2 linked regions of the Neurospora crassa OR74A genome follow. The protein of the gene in region 1 interacts with the protein of each later gene in a pairwise test. Links are inferred from orthologs where the notes say so. Each region holds a gene or a part of one and is shown on either strand. Other genes may lie near its edges.

Region 1 (11,194 bases):
GCATGAAGCCTCTCCTAATATGATCCTTCTCGCTCCCAATTAGATTGTTAATACTTTCCTAATACCGTCGAACTGGCGTTATCCAAAACTGATGAACCGAAGCATGAAATAACAGTTCGATTGACTAGTCTATAAACAGCTGCCTCATAATGAGACAACTAGACAAGAAAGACCTTGGATTGATAAGGAAAACATACCATTTTTACTTCCCGTGATTTTTTTTTCCCTACTCGCCCACCTCCGCATTAACCATTACCGCCCACCCCATCCACCTCCCGAAGACACTTGGAATCCAATTACTAACAAGACTGGTCACACCTCCCAATATGATCCGACACCGGATTCAGACAGTTGCCACTACAGGCGCACAACAACTCAATCCTATTCCCCGACGTAGCCAGCGTATTGCAACTACCACCATCATTCCCTGCATTCGTCGTGTTTGACGACGACGACGACGACGACGCTGGCGCCTGTCTCGCTTGCATCATCTTTCCGGTGGTGCTATCTTGATCCATGTTCTCATGAACGGCATGGTTCATATTCATATGCGTGCGCGAAGAGAGGATGCTGAAGAACCGGGAGAGCCCCGAGATGGACTTGCCGGATGACAGTACGGGAGTGGGTGCGTCGTCGAAGTGCGGGTTCGGCGACATGGCGGAGTCTTTTGCCTTTTCCTTTTCCTTTGGGTTGGCGTTGGCGGGGAGGCAGACGTAGAGGGCTTGGATAGGGTCGGTCTTGGTTTTGCCGTTGGCGCAGTTACTCCTGGAGGCGGCGCAGTAGGCTTTGACTACATCTTCTTCTTTGAAGTCTAAGAAGGGGAGGAGATGTTAGTTGGGGTTGGAGTGTGAATTGTTAAATTGGACGTTGATAGCTGAAAGGAAGGGAAAAGAAGTGTAAGTGGGAGGGAGTAGGGTAGAGAAAGTTCTTGGCTGCTGTAGTAGTTGTCCGAAGATGAGATGCGGCGACGGCCTGGTAGGAAAAAAAGGAAGAAAAGTTAAAAAAAAATTAAAGACGAAAATATAGAAAAAAAATATAAAGGGAAGGTGAAGATAGGGTAATTGGTTTATAAAAAGAGGATAACGAAATGGTAAAGAAAGGGCGAAGAGAAGGTGAAGAGAAGGTGAAGAGAAGGTAAAGAGAAGGTAAAGAGAAGGTAAAGAGAAGGTAAAGGGAAGGTAAAGAGAAGGTAAATAAGGAAAATAAAAGGGCGAAGAGAGGGTGAAGAGAGGGTGAAGAGAAGGTGAAGAGAAGGTAAAGAGAAGGTAAAGAGAAGGTAAATAAGGGAAATAAAAGGGTAAAGAGAGGGTAAAAAGAGGGCGTAGAAAGGATAAAGATAAGTAAAAGATAGGGTAAAGGAACTATAAAGAAGAATTAAGAAGCGGGTAAATAGAGATTTTAGAGGAGAGGAAGATAGTAAGGAAAGTCGGAAGAAGAAGAAGAAAAGAGAGCGAACGGAAAGTGGATTGAAAACAAAGTTGTATCGGGTTGAAGACGTACTTTGATGATCCCTCAAGATATAACCGCAATAAGTAAACCCTTGCCCGCACAGCGCCTGGCCAGGAGGAGCCGGCGTGCTCGGAGTCCAAGTGCTTGGAGCGGTGCTCGACGGCACCGCGGCTTGCCAGAACGTCGTGCCCGATCCTGCGGTGCTCTGGCCGAGCGCTAGGCAAAAGAAGCAGGCTGCAGAGCAGAAGGCGATGAAGGACTTCATAATGCTTCGGTGTTGCTGTCGGTTTTGGGTCTTTCTGCAGCTTTGATGATCAAAATGGCCGTAGTTTGGGAAGAAGGGATGTCTCAGATGGATGCGATGATGTGATCGTAAATGCTTTTAACCTCATCCATCGGTTTTCTGTCTCTGATTACGAGCTTGGGATTCATCATCTCGGAAGGAAAGGCCGCTCAAAGAGCTTCGTTAGCCAAGCAGTGTCAAAGTCCCTCTGTTTGTCCAACGTCTTCGAGTTGCGGTGCCTCCCCAACCACAGACAACGGAACCCTTGGTCACGTCGTCGTTGTTTCACCCTTTGTGGGTGGAGGGGAAAAAAACTGCTTCCCAAGCGCAGATTCTCCGGATGTAGTCCACAGTGATCGAAACCATTGGATGATCTCGATAAGCCAGCGGAGTGGATGTTCTCGGTGAGGAAATAGAGCATGGTAGTTGGGTGTCTGGAGTTGGCTCAAGGCCGATGGATGGATCGCCATGACGTGACAGGTTAAGCATCATGCTTGTTGATGTGGCACGCGTGCGCCGAACCTGAGTCCCAAGAGTCAATGAAGGGTTTGACCTGAGCAGCTATCCTTGGTCAGCGATTGCACGGCGTCTGAGTTGGCCGGGCACGAGGTAACGAATCACGAGCAGGGCGCAGAGGGACGAACTTTTGACAACCTTACATTGTCCTCGGGTGTGATGTATCAGCCGCAAGGACGAGGATGGAATGTCTGGTAAGCCTCTGGTGTCTATGATGAGGTTCGAGTACGGTTCTCGGGGTTTGCGTATGCCTGTTCCGTTATCTACTGCGACGTCCGCAAGCGGGATTACGAGAACCACATTGGGAAGAACAACAGGTTTCGGGAAACCGATCTTGTGAGGACAGAACCTTGTAGTGTACGTCGTTTCGGTTCGCAGCCTACGTGCTCTTCCTTCTTGCAGAGGAGGAAGCTCACCTTTATGAGTTGTCCCAACCCCAGTGGCACTTTATTCAGCAGATGATTCTGGTAACGGATATATGATGTTTTGCATATACAGCCTCCGTGGCCATTTGTTTCTGGTCAAGTGGCTGGTTCTATGGTAGACCGACTGAGCACTCCATACGCCGGAAGATACATGGTGTCAGTTTTGAGGCGACACGTTGAAAAAAAATGATAGATGTCTCGGAACGTCTGCGGGGAGAGGCGGGTAGTGTTTCGTGCCATCGGCTTGGAGAGCAAGAAGAAGGCAAAGAATGTGCAGGAAAATACCGATATGTTGACTGCCAACAGGGAATTAAAACACATACTACCAAAGAATGAACATCCAGTCCCTTTCTACCTGTACCGGGGACGATGCCACGCCTGAAGGGCCAAAGGCACGCGCCCCACGTATTCCTTGCGCTCCGTATTCATAGTATAGAATACCCTTCCCCATCGTATTTCGGATTGAGATGCCCAATTTGGTATGATCGGTCCTGCGCCAGCCGTTCCTTACAACCGGACTCCAAAGACTATTATGTCTCGTTTTTATCACGACCCATGCCCATTTGCCGTCCTCCATTGTGCTTTATTTGCTAAGCCACGGACTAAATAATCACAAAATGCGATTGTCCTGATGAGTGGAGTTGCCTCGAGGGTGTTCGGGCACGGGAAAAGGGGGGAGGGGCTTCGAAGCAAATATATGCAAAGGGGACCGCGCCTCGGTATTCCGTTAATTGGGTCTCCCACGTCGCTGTCGAGTGACCGTTACAGGTACTCAACATGTGCCGTCGCTCCGACACCAGCCAGGGGTATTAATGCAAATTGCAGATCGTCGGAGGAGGCCGCTCGCACAGTTGTCGCGAAGACGGTTGACAGCGTCGAATTTACTCATCAACCTATACCGACTGGTACAAGAGAAGTGGCTCGCCAACGTTGCTAATTTCAGGAATTGTGCATTTTAGATCGAAGGCTTTGGATAGTACGATCTTGAAGATCTGCGAAACAGTCAGACCATGCACCAGTTGCGGCAAACAAAGTGTGACGTACCTTCTGGACATTGATGCTGTGACTGGTGCTGCTAAAGATCAATGCCGCACGCATGGCCTTGGCGAATCGCCGTGCCTGGAAAAGTAACGTCAGCAAGCAGGAACTTTGCCGTATACGCACAAATGACGGATCCTACCTGGTTGGAGATTTCCTCCTGCTCCTCCCGCGAAAGGTTCACAAAGTGATCGTACTTTGTGCCTACAAGGACGGGAATGGCCGTCTTGTTGAATCCTCGCCCCTGGCGGTACCATTCCTTGATGCTGTTCAACGTGCTCTTGCGGGTCAAGTCGAACATGAAGAGGATGGCTACAGCATCGTTGCACACGAGCGGCAACATATTGACGAACTCGCGTTGACCGCCAAGATCCCAGATGCTGAAGGTGATCTCGGTGTTGCGGATGCTGATGGTCTTTTCCATGAAGTTGACGCCCAGAGTCTGGATGTAGTCCTCGTCCCAACTGCCTTCGACGTATTTGACCATCAAGCTTGTCTTGCCAATCTGCGCATCACCGACCATGCCGACCTTGATCACGACATGATTGCGCCCGTTGGCTTGCTCGCTGGAACTCCCGCCGGCGGTTGTCCGCGAGCCGTTTTCTGCGGACTGGGATGGGTTCTGGCCGTCGAGCCCCGAGGGCGGTCGTGACGTTGAAGGCTGGGGTGCTGGTGGCGTGGCATATCGGTCTGAGTCGAAGTTGTCGTGTTGGGAATATGACCGTGGTGAGCTGTTGAGGTTCTGATCGAATTGCTGTTGGTAATGGCGATCTGGGAAGCCGTTTTGGTCGGGTGTTATTTGGGGTGAATCCTCCAGACCACCCATGTTGTCGTCTGGAATGTTGTTGTTGTGAGGAAGCTGAGCCTCGTTTGGGCTAATGGTTTGATCGTGATCCATCACCACGGTGTCCATGTTGCTGTTGTGGTTGTTGTTATCGAGGAACTGGTCCGGGGACCCGGCGAAGAAGGGCGATAAGTCCAGCTTGACAATGGATGAGGCCTAAGGAGGGGTAGGTAGACAGAGAGGTTCAGCCTGGGATGCTGGGTTGTCTGTGCGGGCGAGACGAAGACCAGCGGAAAGGGGTCGGACGGGAGGGATCCAGCAATCGGTTTGTCGTGGTCCGTTTGTGGTGTTTGGTGAAACCCCGTATAACGCTTTCCTCGTGGGTTCGGGCGGCAAGCGGGGGGGAGGGGCGACTGCACGAGATGGGACGAGGGGAGGGAAAAGGTTGGTCTTGGTGATTGAGACGGCGCGGTCGGATAAGTTGGCCGTTGGTTAAAAGGATGGGTATATGGCGCGTGATAGTGGTTTGTAAATGGTTGCTTGTATGTTGCTCGTTTCTTGCTTTGCTACCTGGAGACAGACAATTGTGGTTTGCCGGGTCGGCCGTGGAAGATGCAACGCAATCGGGGATCGTGCGATAAGTCGACGACTATGTAGGTATGTATGTACCTGCTGGGCACCCTGTGGGTTTGTTTCACCGAGGCTGTGGAGACTGCTGCTGACTGCGGACGGCGACGAATGGATTCCCGATGGCAGCTGAAGTGCGGGCGGAGTCGTATGTAGTGTATGTAGTGATGCTGCAGCAACGAGCTGGGGTTGGAAGATCGATGGATGGAAGTGAAGTGGGAATGGAGATGGAATATGAATGATTGATGGAAGTGGATTCAGACTGAATGCTTGCTGCTGCGAGATGCTATGCAAGGAGTCGTCGGATTGATGTTGGCGTACCTATGGCTATGTACCGACCCTCCAGAGAGGCTAGACACTCCCGCAACTGCGTGTGCAGGGCTGGCGGCGCTGACGGGCAGCAGAGTGACGATAGGTACACACGATGAAGCTAGCTGGGCACGCACGGACCAAGGGGAAGGAGCTCCAATCGAAGGGAATTGATCAGACCAAGACTCCACTTAAAGATCGCAGATTGTGGGTCCGCTAGCGCTTGGCTTGGCTGGGCTAGGCGCCTGTTTTTCGAACACTGGACTGCCCTGGGGTCCTCTCGTTGGCGTCAAGATGAGATCTCAATCCTCATGTGCGCGGCGGCGCTTGCGGCTGCTCCCTTGTCCGTTTGCCATCAAACTGTACACTAAGAAAACATTCAGCTGTGTTGACGACAAGCCCGAGCGAGCATGTGGAGATGGGTAGGCGGGCAGTGCATCCCACGTCGAACGATTTGAGTTTCCAAATTGGGCCCCGAGATATTGCTATGACAATCACGATTAAGATGAACCCCGCGCCAGAACAACATGGAAGTCCTTGACAGCTGAAGGGAGATTGGCACCCGGCAATATCAAGGCAACACAGCAGTCACGTATGTTTGAGATGATGCAGTGTGAGTGGCAGAAGGGCAAGGTGACACCGGCAGAGGGGCTTATTTCAGTTGTGTGTGGTGCACATCGGGCAACTGAACCGTTGATGAGCAAGAAAGATGGCGATAACTCCAACAAAACAATGGATGTCCACAACAAATTTCCAATATGTAAACAGAACATCCACACTCGGGCCCTTGCAGCATCTGAACCTCATCGGAAGCATCAACCTATGGCGGGCTGCATGTTGGAGCAAGCCATGGCACATCACTCCCCTTGCGCCTTTCCAACGTCTTTGCCTATTGCCCATTGAACCGACGGACTGCTCACACCCTCCCGCGCCGAGTGCCATGCTGCCTCAGCTCCTTGCCAAGGGGTGCAGTGGGCACTCAAAACAGTGGACACTCACTCCATCCATTTGCAAGTCCGGTCTGCCATGTGTTGCCCGGTGACGTGCTTTTGTTTTTCTTCAGTTGATCTTTCCCCAGATCCGGCCCGTTCCACCTTGATGGCCCGGCTATGGTTTGCTTTTTGGTGCGCTTACATAATATGGGTTGCATTCGACATCTCCCGCTGCTCGGTTCTGTGGTCTTGGCAAGCCGGCCTTGACAGCTGCTGGCCCCGAGTCTAGCCGTTTGTCGGGTGGCCGGCACTTTGTTTTCGTCATTCGATAGTACCGCGGATGTACCCCGGGTCCCGTCTCTGTCTGTGCCTTTTTCTGACTTGTGGCCGGTGCATAGGTTGGATTGAGCACTAACAACTACTTGCGACACCACCAAGCGACGCCGATATACACGCCTTCCGTCCACCCCCCCTCCGCCCAAACCACCGACCGTCACAATGGCCTCCATTGCTCGCTGCCTCCGGATTGCTCGTCCTTCCGTCGTTTCTGCTTTCGCCCAGAGCTCCGTCCGCATTGCGCGTCCCTTCTCTGTTACTGCCAACAGTGAGCCACCCGTTCCCGTCTCCATCAGCCGATGCGCTTCCCGATAAGCGGAGTCATCCTTTGCGACAATGATTCACACAACCACAACACATGGCGCGCACAATCGCAACAACATGCTAACTAACACAACCACAACAAACAGATGAGCTAAGGAAGTACACCCGCGAGCACGAGTGGATCGAGCTCTCCGACGACAAGAAGACTGGTTACGTTGGCATCAGCTCCTACGCCGCCAAGGCCCTCGGCGACGTCGTCTTCGTCGAGCTCCCCGAGGAGGGCAAGGAGGTCCACGCTGGCGATGCCCTTGGCGCCGTCGAGTCCGTCAAGTCTGCCGCCGACATCAACGCCCCCGTCAGCTGCAAGGTCATTGCTAGCAACTTGACCCTCGAGGAGAGCCCTTCGACCATCAACAAGGTTCCCGAGGACCACTCTGCCAGCGGCGGTTGGGTCGCCAAGGTCCAGGTTACCGACCAGGGCATTGCCGATCTCGAGAAGCTCATGGACGAGGAGGCCTACAAGGAGTTCACTGCCGCCGAGGACCACTAAACATAACGCAAGAGATTCAAAATCATGGGGGGCGCCGCTTGACGGGAAAAAGATTAATGACGCTTGGTGTATATTGGCTATTTATGACGGAACCCGGGGAAATGGTTACGGGGATCAACTCAATTTCGGACAGTTCAACCTGCTTTTAGACAAACGACATGGGGGGCCCAACAAAGTACGCCTAAAGAAGTATTTTGTCATATCATCACACGGCGAAGGGCGGTGTTTGGTAGTTTTATGCATACATCGAATTGGAGTTAAATCGGGATAAGCATGCATGCAATGGAACGCATCAGAGTATCATACCAAGATTATGTACATGCATGGAAAACATTCAGCAGATCGTAGAAACCCACGGTTGCGCCTCGCATACCTCTCAACTTTTGGTTCGCCCGCAAAAAAAACCTCGCGCCATCTTTTCATCCTTCTCTATCGTACACAAAACACCATCAGAGAACAAACATTCAGAGATCACCAATCTTGAGTGCACCCCCCGAGGCACGACCCTGGTTGACAAAGTCCAGAATCTTCTGCGCGCCCCTCTTAGCCAGATCCTCCGCCAGCTTCTGACCCATGGCCTCGGCTTCCTCAATCGTCTTGATTACCTCGACGCTCTGCCCATCCACACTCTCCTTTCCATCCAAGCTGACCACCGTCACCTTCAACTGCAACTGATCCTCGCCCACCCACTTGGTCTCAACACCAATCGGCACACTGCACCCGCCCTCCAAGGTCCTCATGACGGCGCGCTCCGCAAACGTCGCCACCATGGTCTTCTCATGACACAAGGGCTTGATGATCTCCAGCGTCTTCTCATCGCCCTCCCTGATCTCCATGGCCAGCGCGCCCTGTCCGACCGCATGCAACATGCCTCCCCCTTCCGTCGTCGAATCCAACCACTGCGCAATCCGCTCGTCGTAGCCCATCCTCAACAACCCCGCCGCGGCCAGGATGATGCAGTCATAATCCTCCTCGTCGCACTTTCTCATTCTCGTCTCGATATTGCCGCGTACGTCCTTGAACACCAAGCCGGGGTACCGTCTGCGCAGCTGGGCCGCGCGGCGCACCGACGAAGTACCCACGATGGCGCCCTCGGGCAGGTCAGCCAGAGACTTGTACTTCCCTTGCTCGGCCCACTTCTTCTTCATCACCACCACGTCCCGCGGATCCTCGCGCTCCGTCACCACGCCGATTTTACCGCCCTCGGGCAGGGTGGTGGGCATGTCCTTGAGGCAGTGCACGATAAAGTCGACTTCCTTGTTGAACAGCTTGGCTTCGAGCTCGTTGGTCCAGAGGCCCTTGCCGAGGGAGGGCAGAGAGGCCGTTTGGTTCTTGTCGCCGAGGGTGGCGAGGGCGTGCACTTGAAAGTGGACGTTGGGGTGGTGAGGCTGGAGGGCGGCAATGACGAGGTCGACTTGTCGGAGGGCGAGGGCCGAGCGGCGGGTGCCGATGTGGACTGTTTCTTTTTGTTCGGACATTGTGATGATGATTTGGTGGTTGAGGGTGAAGGTGATGGGTGAGTGAGTGTGGTTGCAAAACAATCCTGAGGAATATCTTCTTGTCTGAACGAGATGTTTGGACTAGTGAGATAACAAAGATCTGAAAATCCTCTGCGCGACAACTCACTGCAGTTAACGCTTGGTCAAGTCAGGCGGCGCAACACGTTCGGTCGTGAATCTGGGGAAGGCCAGGAAGTCGTCTCAGGAATTCGGAATGCGACAAGAGGGGCAACCGCGCAAGCTGGAGCCGGGGACAGCGGGAACCACCCCGCCGCCAAGACCTCGGACAGGGGAAAGTTTAGATGTCGCGGACTGACCCACTTTGTCAGACGGAGCCGGTGGGGTCAAGTCCGCTGCCCCCGGCACCGGGACAAAAGGCTTCTCCGCCCTCACTGCCGGACAGCATCGGTCGGCACGGGCGGCCACACCCCAGCAAGGTCGAGAGGGTAGGCTAGAAAGTAGAGGGTAGGTGAGCATAAAACGCAAATCAAACCATTTCACACACAACGCTGGTCACACTTGTTCACAACATTTGGGTCACTCCCACCCGACCCAGCTCACAACCACCCCGAAACTTCAACTGGAAAAGATAACGATTCCTCGGATTTTTCGTAGGTAATCTGACGCTAATGATTAAGACTAATGATTAGAGCTTTTTGTTTGCAAGTAGAGGTATCCGTTTGTCTGTTTTCCAACCCACTCATCTCTATCATCGATCCCGTTATTATCCTAGGTGTTTCCCGAGCATTCCTCATCCAAGAGCGTGACCATTTTGCACAGAGTGCAGTGCCTTACACCCTGCTCGGCCCCACCAACGTCTCTCGTTCTGTCTCGTTCCCATTCAGGTCTTGCACTCCTTCAAAAACCCACCAGCTCACGACTTATTCCCATTTTCCCGCTCCGCCGCCTTCCTATTACCCTCCAAAAAGTGCTCCAACAATTGATGCGCCCTGGTCCCGATGCTGATACTGGACGCGCTCAAAGCTGGACTAGCCGCCGCCAGTCTCTTGGGCGGAGGGCTCCTCGGTTCCGGGCTCTTCGCCAACGGAGTCACCGGTCCTGTTGGCGCTCTCACATCCGCCGCCAAATCATGGACATTTTCTAGATGCTTCGGCGTACCAACACGACTATCGTGGCGAAGGGAATGAGGTCTTCCACCCATCAGGCCTCCACGCCTCGATCCTAGACCCGGACTCGCGGTTCTGACGTCTGCGGCCAGGTTGCGATTTTCGCGATCAGCACTGGGACTGGGCGTAGCGGTTTGCCGGTCTTCAAGGCGATTATGCGGTCGCACCAAGGCTGGAGGAGTCGGGACACGCTGGTCCAAGTGGATGCCGGGTTTAAAAGGGCTGTCGCTTCTCGGCACCGCGAGTCGCTTGTCCTCGGTGAATTCGTGGTTGCGGATCGAGATCGGTTTGGGCGAGTTGATGCGAGGATCCGACTCGATGGGGTGATCTTTGATCCTGGCGGCGGCCAGAGCAACCTTGGCATCCATGTGCGGACCATGTGCTTCTGGCTGATCCGGCAAGGGAACAACCGTATTGGTGCCGGAATCGTGTGCTTCAGCTTGCGGAGGGAGGAAACTGTTGCCCACATCATGAGGTTGTGAACGACCTACGTCCTACGCTAGTTGCTCGTCGATGTTAAGCCGGTGGCGGGTATCTCTGGGAGGAAGAGTATCGAGTTGGGGGTCTTGGGAATTATCGTGAGGACGATCACCGACCTGCGCTTCGTCTGCCTCGTCCTGGATCGTTTCTGCAATTGAAGTCTCCGCCTCCTCGACGGTGACCACCTTGGGAGATTGGTTCGCCACGTCACGAAGGGCGGTAAGCTGCCCGAGAGCGGATGGCTTCATATTCGGTGTTTCGGAGTGTGAAGAGGAAGGGAATGCACCAGGGAGTTGTGGCAGTTGGGAAGGAACGTCAGAGGAGCCTGCAGGTACGGTTGCGGGTGGCATAGCTGGGGTGTCAAATGCACCAGGCAACTGCGGAAGCCGAGGAGGAGCATCGAGTGTGCTACTTGGGGCTGCGTCTGGGATTTTGGAGAACATCTCGTCGGCAGAGGGCGCATCAAACTCCTCGGAGAAGCGCGACTTGCGGGCTGGGGTATTTGATTGCACTGGCACTTCCAACCGATCAGTGTCCGGGCCTCGGCCGTTGCCGTATCTGTCGTGGTCACGAGT
Region 2 (9,527 bases), on another chromosome or scaffold:
CCACCTAGACTTGTCATCCATGCCTTTGCGGTGCCTCGGTCTTTCGGACACGGCGGCGCTCTAAAAGGCCGCTTTGACGGTGGTCGGGGCTGCTGCGGGATTCATACTTGACTCTCTGTTGTTCAGTTGAAACGCAGGGCAACGAGGATGACAGCCAAGGACGCAAGGCACAACCGGCTGAGGTGTTCACTCGAGTCATTGGGTGAACTGCCCAGTGTTTGAGGAACAACACGGGGCGGCGGAAACAGAGATGTGATGGAATGGATGTCCTGGCAGGAATTACGACTGCGTCAATGCAGCTGGTCATTGGCGTTTTAGAGGGGGAGGCGCTGCAATCGCTCGGCATCTTTCAAAGCTGGAAAAGGAAGTCGGACAAGATGGAAGAGGACATCGATGGACAGGATCAGGGACCTGACCCCAGGTTGCCGACCGCTCCCGGTTCCAATGTGTACTTGTGTAGTGTATGACAAAGACCAAGATCCAAGACGGGACTCCTATTGCGGTTTTGGGAACACTGACGCCCAGACAGGGTGCCCGCCGCCACGTTCAAACTGTTTGGCTTCGAGACCGTTCACCTTGTGAGGACGGGAGTCTGTGACTGCGGATCCGTCTGAAATTCAATCATTCTAGGAAAGCCGGCTTGGCCCGATCTCAGTGCCGGCGTGCCCGCTCTCAGATTCAACTCAGGTCCTCTCCTCCCAGGCGGGTGCACTGGCTGGTGGTCCATCAAGGGTACCCGTGTTTCCCGCCGCCTGCAGCCAACGTTTCCTGTAAGTACCTGTCATGTACATAGCTCGGCCCCACCACGACGCAACAGAGCGCCATCTTTCACACTTCCATTTCTTCGCCGAACCCGGGCCGCTTCTGTCCCAAGTGAACAAGAACTGAAGCCTAGGCACACAGCATCGACAAGGAATCGTCAAGGCCAGGCAAAGTCAAATCAGAAGTCACGGTGGAAAGTGGAAACCCCATTATTCACCTCCTACATAGTGTACTAGTAGTGACCAGTCCAAGCCTTGTCTACAGGCTTTGCAGTTCCATGACAGTTGAGATCGCCGTCATCTATTTGGCCCCGACTCTTCTTTCGCCGCCGTCCCATTTGCCTTTCCCTTGCTTCCACTTGACATAGTTTCCGCCCATTCCGCCGCTGCGTCTGCTTGCCGGTCTGGTCTTGTCTTGCATCTTCTGTCGCTCTGTCACCTGTCTGGCCCTTGCATCTTGCATCACACGGTCTTTTATCCCATCTTTTTTATCTCTGTTTTCCAGGGCGGGCCAGACACCAGACGTTATTCGGATTCCTGCCAGGATTTTACAAGTTTTATTAGTTTGCGGAGACGGGCGCAAATTCGAACCAAGAAATCAAAGTCACCCAACAAAAACAACAAAACACCTAAAAAAAAAAAAGATGGCGACCGCTGAGAAAGAGTCAGAGCAGCGTCAACCGGACGAACAGTTCCAAGGTAAGGAGAAAGGAAACAACGACGAAGAATTGGAAAAGAAAAAAACACGAATAAAAAATCAACGGCAACCCCTCATCTCTGATCCCTACTACGCCAATCCTCGGGGACTAGAACGAGCAAGCATTGGATTGAAGCAATTCGCTGACTTGTAGTCTACTCCAACAGCTGTCGAGCCGCAATCGGTCAAAGTCACTCCCGCTGAACCATCCAAAACCGAGCCTGCTGTCCGCTTCAAGTCAACTGTCGAAGAGATCACGCCAGAGGGCACCACATCGACACCAACCATTGCACCAGACGTCACCCTCGGCGAACCGGGTGAGGTCACCCCCGAGCAGCTTCGTGATATCGCCGAGAGGTTGAAGGCCTGTCCGCTGCAGGAGCGAAGGATAAGCCTTTTCCAGTACGAGGCATTCTCGCTTCCCGCTTCAAGGGTAAGCCCATCCTAATTTCACGTGAGGGGCTACGCTTCTTGCTTCCTTCCTTTGTTCATCTCCCAAGTTTTGCTTTTGCCTTGGTCCGTCGCTTCCGGGGGGGGCTTGTGCAACCAAGATCAGCTCGGTGGCTTTTGCTGGCTTTTTCCATGTCTCTTGTCTGATTGCACACCATATATCCATGCATGCATAGTCACCATTCTTCGCGTCTGCGTCTTTACCCCTTGGGCGAGGACTAATACTTTGCTATCTCCAGACACCTTCCCACGAAGATGATTCAAGAGCTCCCAGTCGCGAACATACACGGAGCTCGGCAGGTCGCAACTCACCGCTTCTTACTCCGCACGTCAGGGGCCACGAAATGCATACACCTCCTCTCACGCCGGCTGGAACCGACAACGTCGACCGAGAACTTCGCCGCGAGAGCGCTCTGGCGCAAGAAAGGCGGAGTGCCAACCTCATCACTCCTCAAGATTCTTCCCACGAACCGACATCACCTACCTCTCTCCGCAATGTCCAGCTGCCTACACCCGACGAACAGCTGCGGAGCTCTTCCAGGCCGACTTCGATAGATGGCCGAGATCGTCCCCAGATCACTATTGGTGAACATCGCAGAGGGTTGTTTTCCGTTGGATCCGGCGGCAGCAGTTCCCCCAGTAGATCTCAGCCTGCGTCTCGTGAATCCAGTCCCTCCCGAGCGTTGGCCGCGTCACAGTTCTACACCCGCCAACTACCACCTCCCGGCGATGCCAACGATCCGTACTCGGCAAGCAAACGACCTGCACAAAAAGGCATTGAGCCTCGCTTCATCTTCTCCAGGAAAAAGAACTCGTCCTCTTTGAGTCTGGTATCCAAAAGCGACAAACGCTCCAAGAAGGATCGCCATGACAACGACGACGAGGCCACAATCCCCAGCAGAAATAGCTCAATGGCGGACCTGAAGAGGTTCTTCAAGCTGGGACCCCACAAGAACAAGAGACCGGCATCTCCCGCTGCTTCTGTAAAGTCTACGCCCAAGACACCGGGAGGCAAGTCCGCCCAGATTCCGTTCGGTGACGATCACGGTCTCTCTTCTAAATACGGGAAGCTTGGCAAGGTGTTGGGTGCCGGAGCGGGAGGTTCGGTGAGACTCATGAAGCGCAGCGAAGACGGTGTGGTCTTTGCCGTTAAGGAGTTCCGCCCTCGCCACTCGTACGAAACCGAGCGCGAATATGTCAAGAAGCTTACGGCCGAGTATTGCATGGGATCTTCTTTGCACCATGGCAACATCATTGAAACCCTAGACATTGTCCAGGAGAAGGGCAAGTGGTATGAGGTGATGGAGTACGCTCCGTATGACCTGTTCGCCATTGTCATGACAGGAAAGATGTCTCGAGAAGAGGTCAGCTGCTGCTTCCTTCAGATCTTGAGTGGCGTAACATACCTTCACAGCATGGGCCTCGCGCATCGGGATCTGAAGCTTGACAACGTTGTGGTTAGCGAGCATGGGATTATGAAGATTATCGATTTTGGTAGTGCTCATGTTTTCCGGTATCCGTTTGAGACTGGTATTGTACATGCCTCAGGTATGTAAACACTTGGCTGAGAAGATGCTGGTTGAAGGGTTGCTAACCGATCAAAGGCATTGTTGGATCCGACCCATATCTTGCCCCCGAAGTGTACGACGAAAAGAAGTACGATCCCGAAGCCGTTGATATCTGGTCCTTGGCCATCATCTACTGCTGCATGACACTCCGGCGATTCCCGTGGAAGGTTCCTCGATTGACCGACAACTCGTTCAAGCTATTCGCTGCAGAACCTTCGTTCGGACATGACCCAAAGAAACTGTTGCTTCCACCTTCAGCCTCCACGTCGGCGCTTAGCGATGTTCCATACAGAGACTACGACCCTCAGAGCGTCAGGGCTAGCAGCGACAAGATCGACAAGGTTCAGGATGACAAGAAGACGACTTCCGATCACAAGCCGACAACCAGCGTACAAGGAGAAGCTGGCAGCACTGGAGAGAAGAAGGAGGTTATCCGTGGTCCTTGGAGAATCCTCAGGCTTCTCCCGAGGGAAAGCAGACACGTCATCGGCAGGATGCTCGATCTGGATCCCAAGACACGAGCCAAGATGACGGAAATTCTTGACGATCCATGGGTGGCGAACACCGTCATCTGCCGGCAGATCGGCCCCGGCAACGTGGCACATGCGGACGATCACGTACATACTCTCGAACCCCCATCAGCACCTGCAGGCACCAAAGATGAAAAGGCCAAACGCTAGAAGTGGAGCCTTCGCGCCAGTAGACATCCTCAAATACAGGACGGCTTCTTGGGGGCACAGGATGCCACCAACATTTGGGTTAGGAACAAGAAGGGTTATCTGATGGGACTTGTGGGGGATAACTTGGGTTTAGTATTGAAAAGACCGAACATACGTTTTTAGTGCAGTATATGGGTATTGTTACCATTTTCCTCTCAGTCGGTGTCTGTTTCCTTGCGAGGCAGCGGTTTTTCGTCATTTTCTTGGGCGTTTTTGGGACTTGGGAAGACAGCGCTGCGATTGGGTTTGGGTGTCGATGCAAAGATTCAGTATAGGGGGGCTGGGTTCCAGGCATACAGCGTTCATCTTTTTGATTATGCTACTCTCTGGTAAAAGATAGAAGGTGGTATGGCTAGGCTAGACATATTGTGGGAGACGGGCATTAAACACTGTTGAGTGTACAAAGGTCGCTCGCTTTATAATTAGAAAGTGCAGTTATTGATCGAGTGAGAAGTGGTAAAATCTAGACAGACAGCTGCCCGCCCGTGAGATATGTGACGTTGCTAATGGTGATGGACTTTTCAAGACCGTTCTCAATGAGATGGAAGTTGTAAGTCCAGATTACCCTTTATATAGATACCTATAGATGTAGAGGAGACCTTATCTGTGTTCTGTCATGGTAACCGGAGCAACGGACGGAGCCGCTTCGCAGGACGATCCACCGTTCCCCGGCCAAGCCGGGCGTGTTACCCCAGCTTCGCACAGCCAATCAGAAGCAGGTAGGCTGCCCGTTTAGGCGGGATTGCCGGTGACGTACCGACATCGGTAGGGATAAACAGCAAGTCCGGGCCCATTAAAAAATGGAGCGGCATCTTCTAGATGCGCATCGAAGCTCGTGCAAGGGTAATCAAAAGTCGCGATCCCGCCGACCTGAATACCGAAGCTCTTTCCCCCTCAGTCTCCTCAGATCCGCCGTACTCGTCCATCCTCACGCCCAAGCTCGCCAGTCGAATCCCTCGTTGCCGTTCACCGTTTCAATCCCGTCAAAATGGTGAGCACACACCTCCCGTCCGAGACATCCAATCGCACTCCGCCGCCGGGGACAAGGAAGCGCCGGAAAGAGGGAGCTACATACTGTGGCAGCATTGCGTAGCTATCGGAAGCCTAGCAATTGCGCTGTAGAACCTCTGGCTAGCACCGGCCCAACTGAACATTCGGCGGCAAGCACCACGACAAGTGCAATTGGCGCCGAACATGCAAGACGATATCATGAAACCAAACTGTCGACTAACGCGTTATTGTTGTCGTCACCGCAGGCCACTACCGTCCGCTCCGTCAAGTCCCTCATCCCCCTCCTTGACCGCGTCCTCGTCCAGCGCGTCAAGGCCGAGGCCAAGACTGCCTCCGGCATCTTCCTTCCCGAGTCCTCCGTTAAGGACCTCAACGAGGCCAAGGTTCTCGCTGTTGGCCCCGGTGCCCTCGACAAGGACGGCAAGCGTCTCCCCATGGGTGTCAACGCTGGCGACCGCGTTCTTATCCCTCAGGTACGTTAGAGGGCCACCAATGCGCTACACACAATGCCGGTGCAGAGCAGACGGGCGGTTACAGATTAAGGTTATCTGTCCGTAACACCCGGATGCAACGCATGCATGCATGGGCTGTTGTATAAAGAGGAAAGAAGAGAGGAATATGGATACTAACGCGCTCTTTGACAGTACGGCGGTTCCCCTGTCAAGGTTGGCGAGGAGGAGTACACCCTCTTCCGCGATAGCGAGTAAGTTACACCACACACCACAGATTCTGTCCCTGATTGGAGGGGGGAGGGAAACTATTCCCGGCCGGCCTATGCAAACATACAGGAAGAGCCGGTTACTGACATATGTCTCTTCGATAGGATCCTTGCCAAGATCGCCGAGTAAACCTCGTTGAGCCAGCATAAAACCCAAAAAGCAAAATATAAAGGATACCCTCTCATGATTCTTATGACATTATCAAAAGTGTACCAATATGTAATGTACCAATAGAAACCAGCATTGAACAACAGCTAAACGGACAGGTTGGCATACTTGACACGAAAACGTGGGCATGAGGTGGTGGTGCACGGCATTTATCGCTTGATCATGGTTTGGTTATTGAAAATGACACCTCAACTCACCTCATTCTTGTGACAGTTAACTTGAAGCGAGAGGAAAGATATCGGGATGTCAGTTGTCCTCAATCAACTCCTCACATCACAGTTCGTCCGAATTTCCGGCTCAGAATACGATAGCTTCACCCGATCTCTAGTTTCAGATCAAACAGTGTTCCTCACTCCTCTGGTCTTGGTCCTCGGTTTCCGTCTCATAATCCTTGGTGCTGCCGGTTTGGTGGGGTTCAGACCTGAAAAACTAGACGAGACGAGACGAGATGTGGCTGATACATACTTCTACTGTTATCCATGGAACAACGAGCAAGCGAGCTGTCGTGGGTTGATCAAGCAGAAATATCAGTTAACACGAGCGTCTCCTGTCCCGTACATCTGTCTCGTTCAATTCGTGCTTGACAACATCAGACAAGCAAAGAGAAGGGATATACAAAGACAGCGTCAGTGTAGCACGTTATCGCAAACGGGCAGGGCCGGTGAGCGCTGCGCCGGCGGTAGGCGTGATTTGGTTCCTGATCTTACCCCAGTGGAATCCGAATGACAAGGGACGGGAGGAGAAAGTCGAAGAGTGAGCCAAAACCAACACGGAACCAACAGCAACATAGGAAAATCAACAAAGGCACCACTTCAGCAGCAAGCAGTTAGTTAGTCACACACTGTTGTGGTGTGGTATGGAGCGCCCAGACTGCCATTCACTGGCATTGGGCCTGCCCGAATTGCTCGGTCACATGTGGGCCATTAGGGCGCCACCACTATATATTTTAGCCCTCCACAGTTCTTTTCCTTTCTCGTTCTTAGCTTAGCACAATTAGTCTCAGTCAGACCCACTAACCTCCAAAACCACCCCACCCCACCCGTTTCTGCAGTAGCAGGTCTAAGCCAATTTTGAATATTTCGGCCGTTAACCGCTATAGGGCCCAACTATTGCAATTAAATTCTGCTCTAATTAGAATTAAAATATACCTTAATTCTAATTATTTACTCTTATTAGAACGAAACCCCTAAAATCGCAATACGTAATACATCCGTTTTCGTTCTCTACGACTCTAATTAGAGTAAAACCCCTAAAGTTGCAATATGTAATTTATCCGTTTTTGTTTATTATAACTCCGATTAGAGTAATATATATAGACCTACGACGTTTAATTTACTTAATATAATTTACTATTCGTTCTAGGAAACGGCCGTTCTAACTTTACCTAATAACCCTTCTACGCTTGTATCTAATTCGCCCTTCCTTTCGTTTAAATTTAGTATTTTCCCGAATATTCTAATTATAGTAATATATTTGATTCGTACGTATTTAAACCCTAGGGCTTTAATTCCAACTCCTTACTATAGCCCCCCAACCTCCCCGAACCCAATCGAATATAGCTTACTACTATAAAATTAGAGTAATTTAGGCGTTATTAATTAAAATTAATACTTCGCTCGTTTTATTTAAGAGTATTAGGTATATTTATATCCTAGGGGGATATTAAAACCCTTTATTCGTAGTTAAATTAAAATAATTTAAAGTAATAACCGGCTATCGAAATTCTATATTAAGTAACTTATTAATACGCTATATAATAATTATATATATAAAATTCTCTATTATAGTAATATTATAATATATTTTAATAATAAGGGTAATTTATATAATATAAAGAACTTCTATTAGGAATTAATATCTCTCTCTAAATATATCGACCTATTTTTATTTTTTACGAAGTTTAGTACCTCTTCTACTCTATAGGGGGACTAGCTATATAATATCGCGGATCTATACGATATACAATAAATTACATCGGCTATTAAGCAATATATTAATAGCCTACCTAAATATACGTTTAAATTATATTCGCTTCTTATAAGTTTAATACAATATACTTACACCTATAAAAAAACGTAGGGATTATAAATTTATTATAGCGACTATATTTCGCCTATAATATATATAATCTTAATTATTATTATATATATCGTCGCCCCTAGTAAATCCGATTTCTTTTTGCAAATTATAGGTTTATATTTGCGTACTAACAGCGTTGCTAAGTATATCCAAAATACTTTATCTATTTTTAGTATTTATATATTTTATATTAAAATTATAATAATAATTAAAACTCTTACAATTTCTATAATAGTTAGTACCGTCGATTATTTGTTTTATAATTTATATTAACGCTTTTAGGCTAACTTTAAACGTATTATTTCTAACCCTACTCTTATTATTATATATAATAACTATAACTATTTAAATATAATTTAGAATTTAGGTACTAGTTGATAGGATATAATACGTAACTTTACAATTTATTTATTAATAAATAATTTTAATATTTAAGGCCTATTCCGATTTAACTAATTTCGGTTTACTATTCCCTTCCGACTGTATTGGGTTATCCCGGCTTTCGTACAAACGCTACAATTATTTCGCCCTACTATAAACTATTTAATTATAAAGAAATTAAAGTCCCTCTTTCCGTTTATCGGCGAATAAGGTTTTTTTCCCGCTTATTGCTTCCTTAAAGTTAAATAATATTATATACTTAAAAGCTATATTCTTTAAACGCTTGCTATTAACGAAAACGAAGGTGAATTCGCCGGTATCTATTATTTGTACGATAAATTATTTTTTAATTTATTTAGTATAAATTAGATGTAGTTTAGCGATAGGCTTTTCTTTATTTACGGTAATTAAAAGACGATATTATATATTTGTAAGATTATATTAGTATAGTTAGAGGTATAGAGTATATATAATTATAAGTAGTAGATAATCTTTATCCCTATATTCTTCTATATTAAAATAAATTTCGTTAATTTAATTTTTTAATACTTTTAGCCTCTTATAGAGTAAGATACTTACGGCCTTAAGAGGGCTAAAAAAGTAAAATAATTTAAAACTAAATTCTATTATAAATCGAGACTCCTTTATAATATATTTCATTTTAGAATTCTTATTTTTTTAATATAGAATCTCATTAATAATAGGTTCCTAGATCCTACTACACTTAGTTAGGATAGTATCGAAGCTATTATCGCGGCTGCCTTTTAAGTTAATAGAATTACTTATTTATCTATATAATTTAATTATATTTATAATAAAGTTTTTACCTTATAGGGATATACTAATAAATACCCGGGGGGTAATAATAATTATATTAATATACGATTTTGTAGCGTTTATTAATACTTGTATATTATTCGGCTATTATTTATTCTTACTTATATTATCCAATTTAGCAATTATAGGATACTTTA

The links.
Region 2: the proteins of NCU08878 (region 1) and NCU04334 interact in a two-hybrid assay, tested with the Saccharomyces cerevisiae proteins (2 studies listed by BioGRID). The link is inferred for Neurospora crassa OR74A from reciprocal best matches to the Saccharomyces cerevisiae genes TEM1 and HSP10.

What each region holds. Positions count from the first base shown.
Region 1 is NC_026505.1:32,693-43,886, forward strand, and holds NCU08878 (TEM1), read right to left. Parts: upstream 5,471-11,194; 5' UTR 4,625-5,470; coding exon 3,854-4,624; intron 3,793-3,853; coding exon 3,718-3,792; intron 3,666-3,717; coding exon 3,567-3,665; 3' UTR 2,377-3,566; intron 2,286-2,376; 3' UTR 2,192-2,285; downstream 1-2,191. Other genes in the region: NCU10861 (hypothetical protein), read right to left, coding at 300-811, 1,501-1,714; NCU08877 (glycine cleavage system H protein), read left to right, coding at 6,862-6,967, 7,110-7,513; NCU10292 (porphobilinogen deaminase, variant), read right to left, coding at 7,978-8,991; NCU10291 (hypothetical protein), read right to left, coding at 9,887-10,595, 10,638-11,194.
Region 2 is NC_026504.1:3,736,319-3,745,845, forward strand, and holds NCU04334 (chaperonin), read left to right. Parts: upstream 1-5,022; 5' UTR 5,023-5,183; coding exon 5,184-5,186; intron 5,187-5,451; coding exon 5,452-5,679; intron 5,680-5,850; coding exon 5,851-5,909; intron 5,910-6,029; coding exon 6,030-6,054; 3' UTR 6,055-6,452; downstream 6,453-9,527. Other genes in the region: stk-30 (protein kinase), read left to right, coding at 1,406-1,460, 1,626-1,891, 2,148-3,456, 3,513-4,156. UniProt on the Saccharomyces cerevisiae protein: Eukaryotic CPN10 homolog which is essential for mitochondrial protein biogenesis, together with CPN60. Binds to CPN60 in the presence of Mg-ATP and suppresses the ATPase activity of the latter.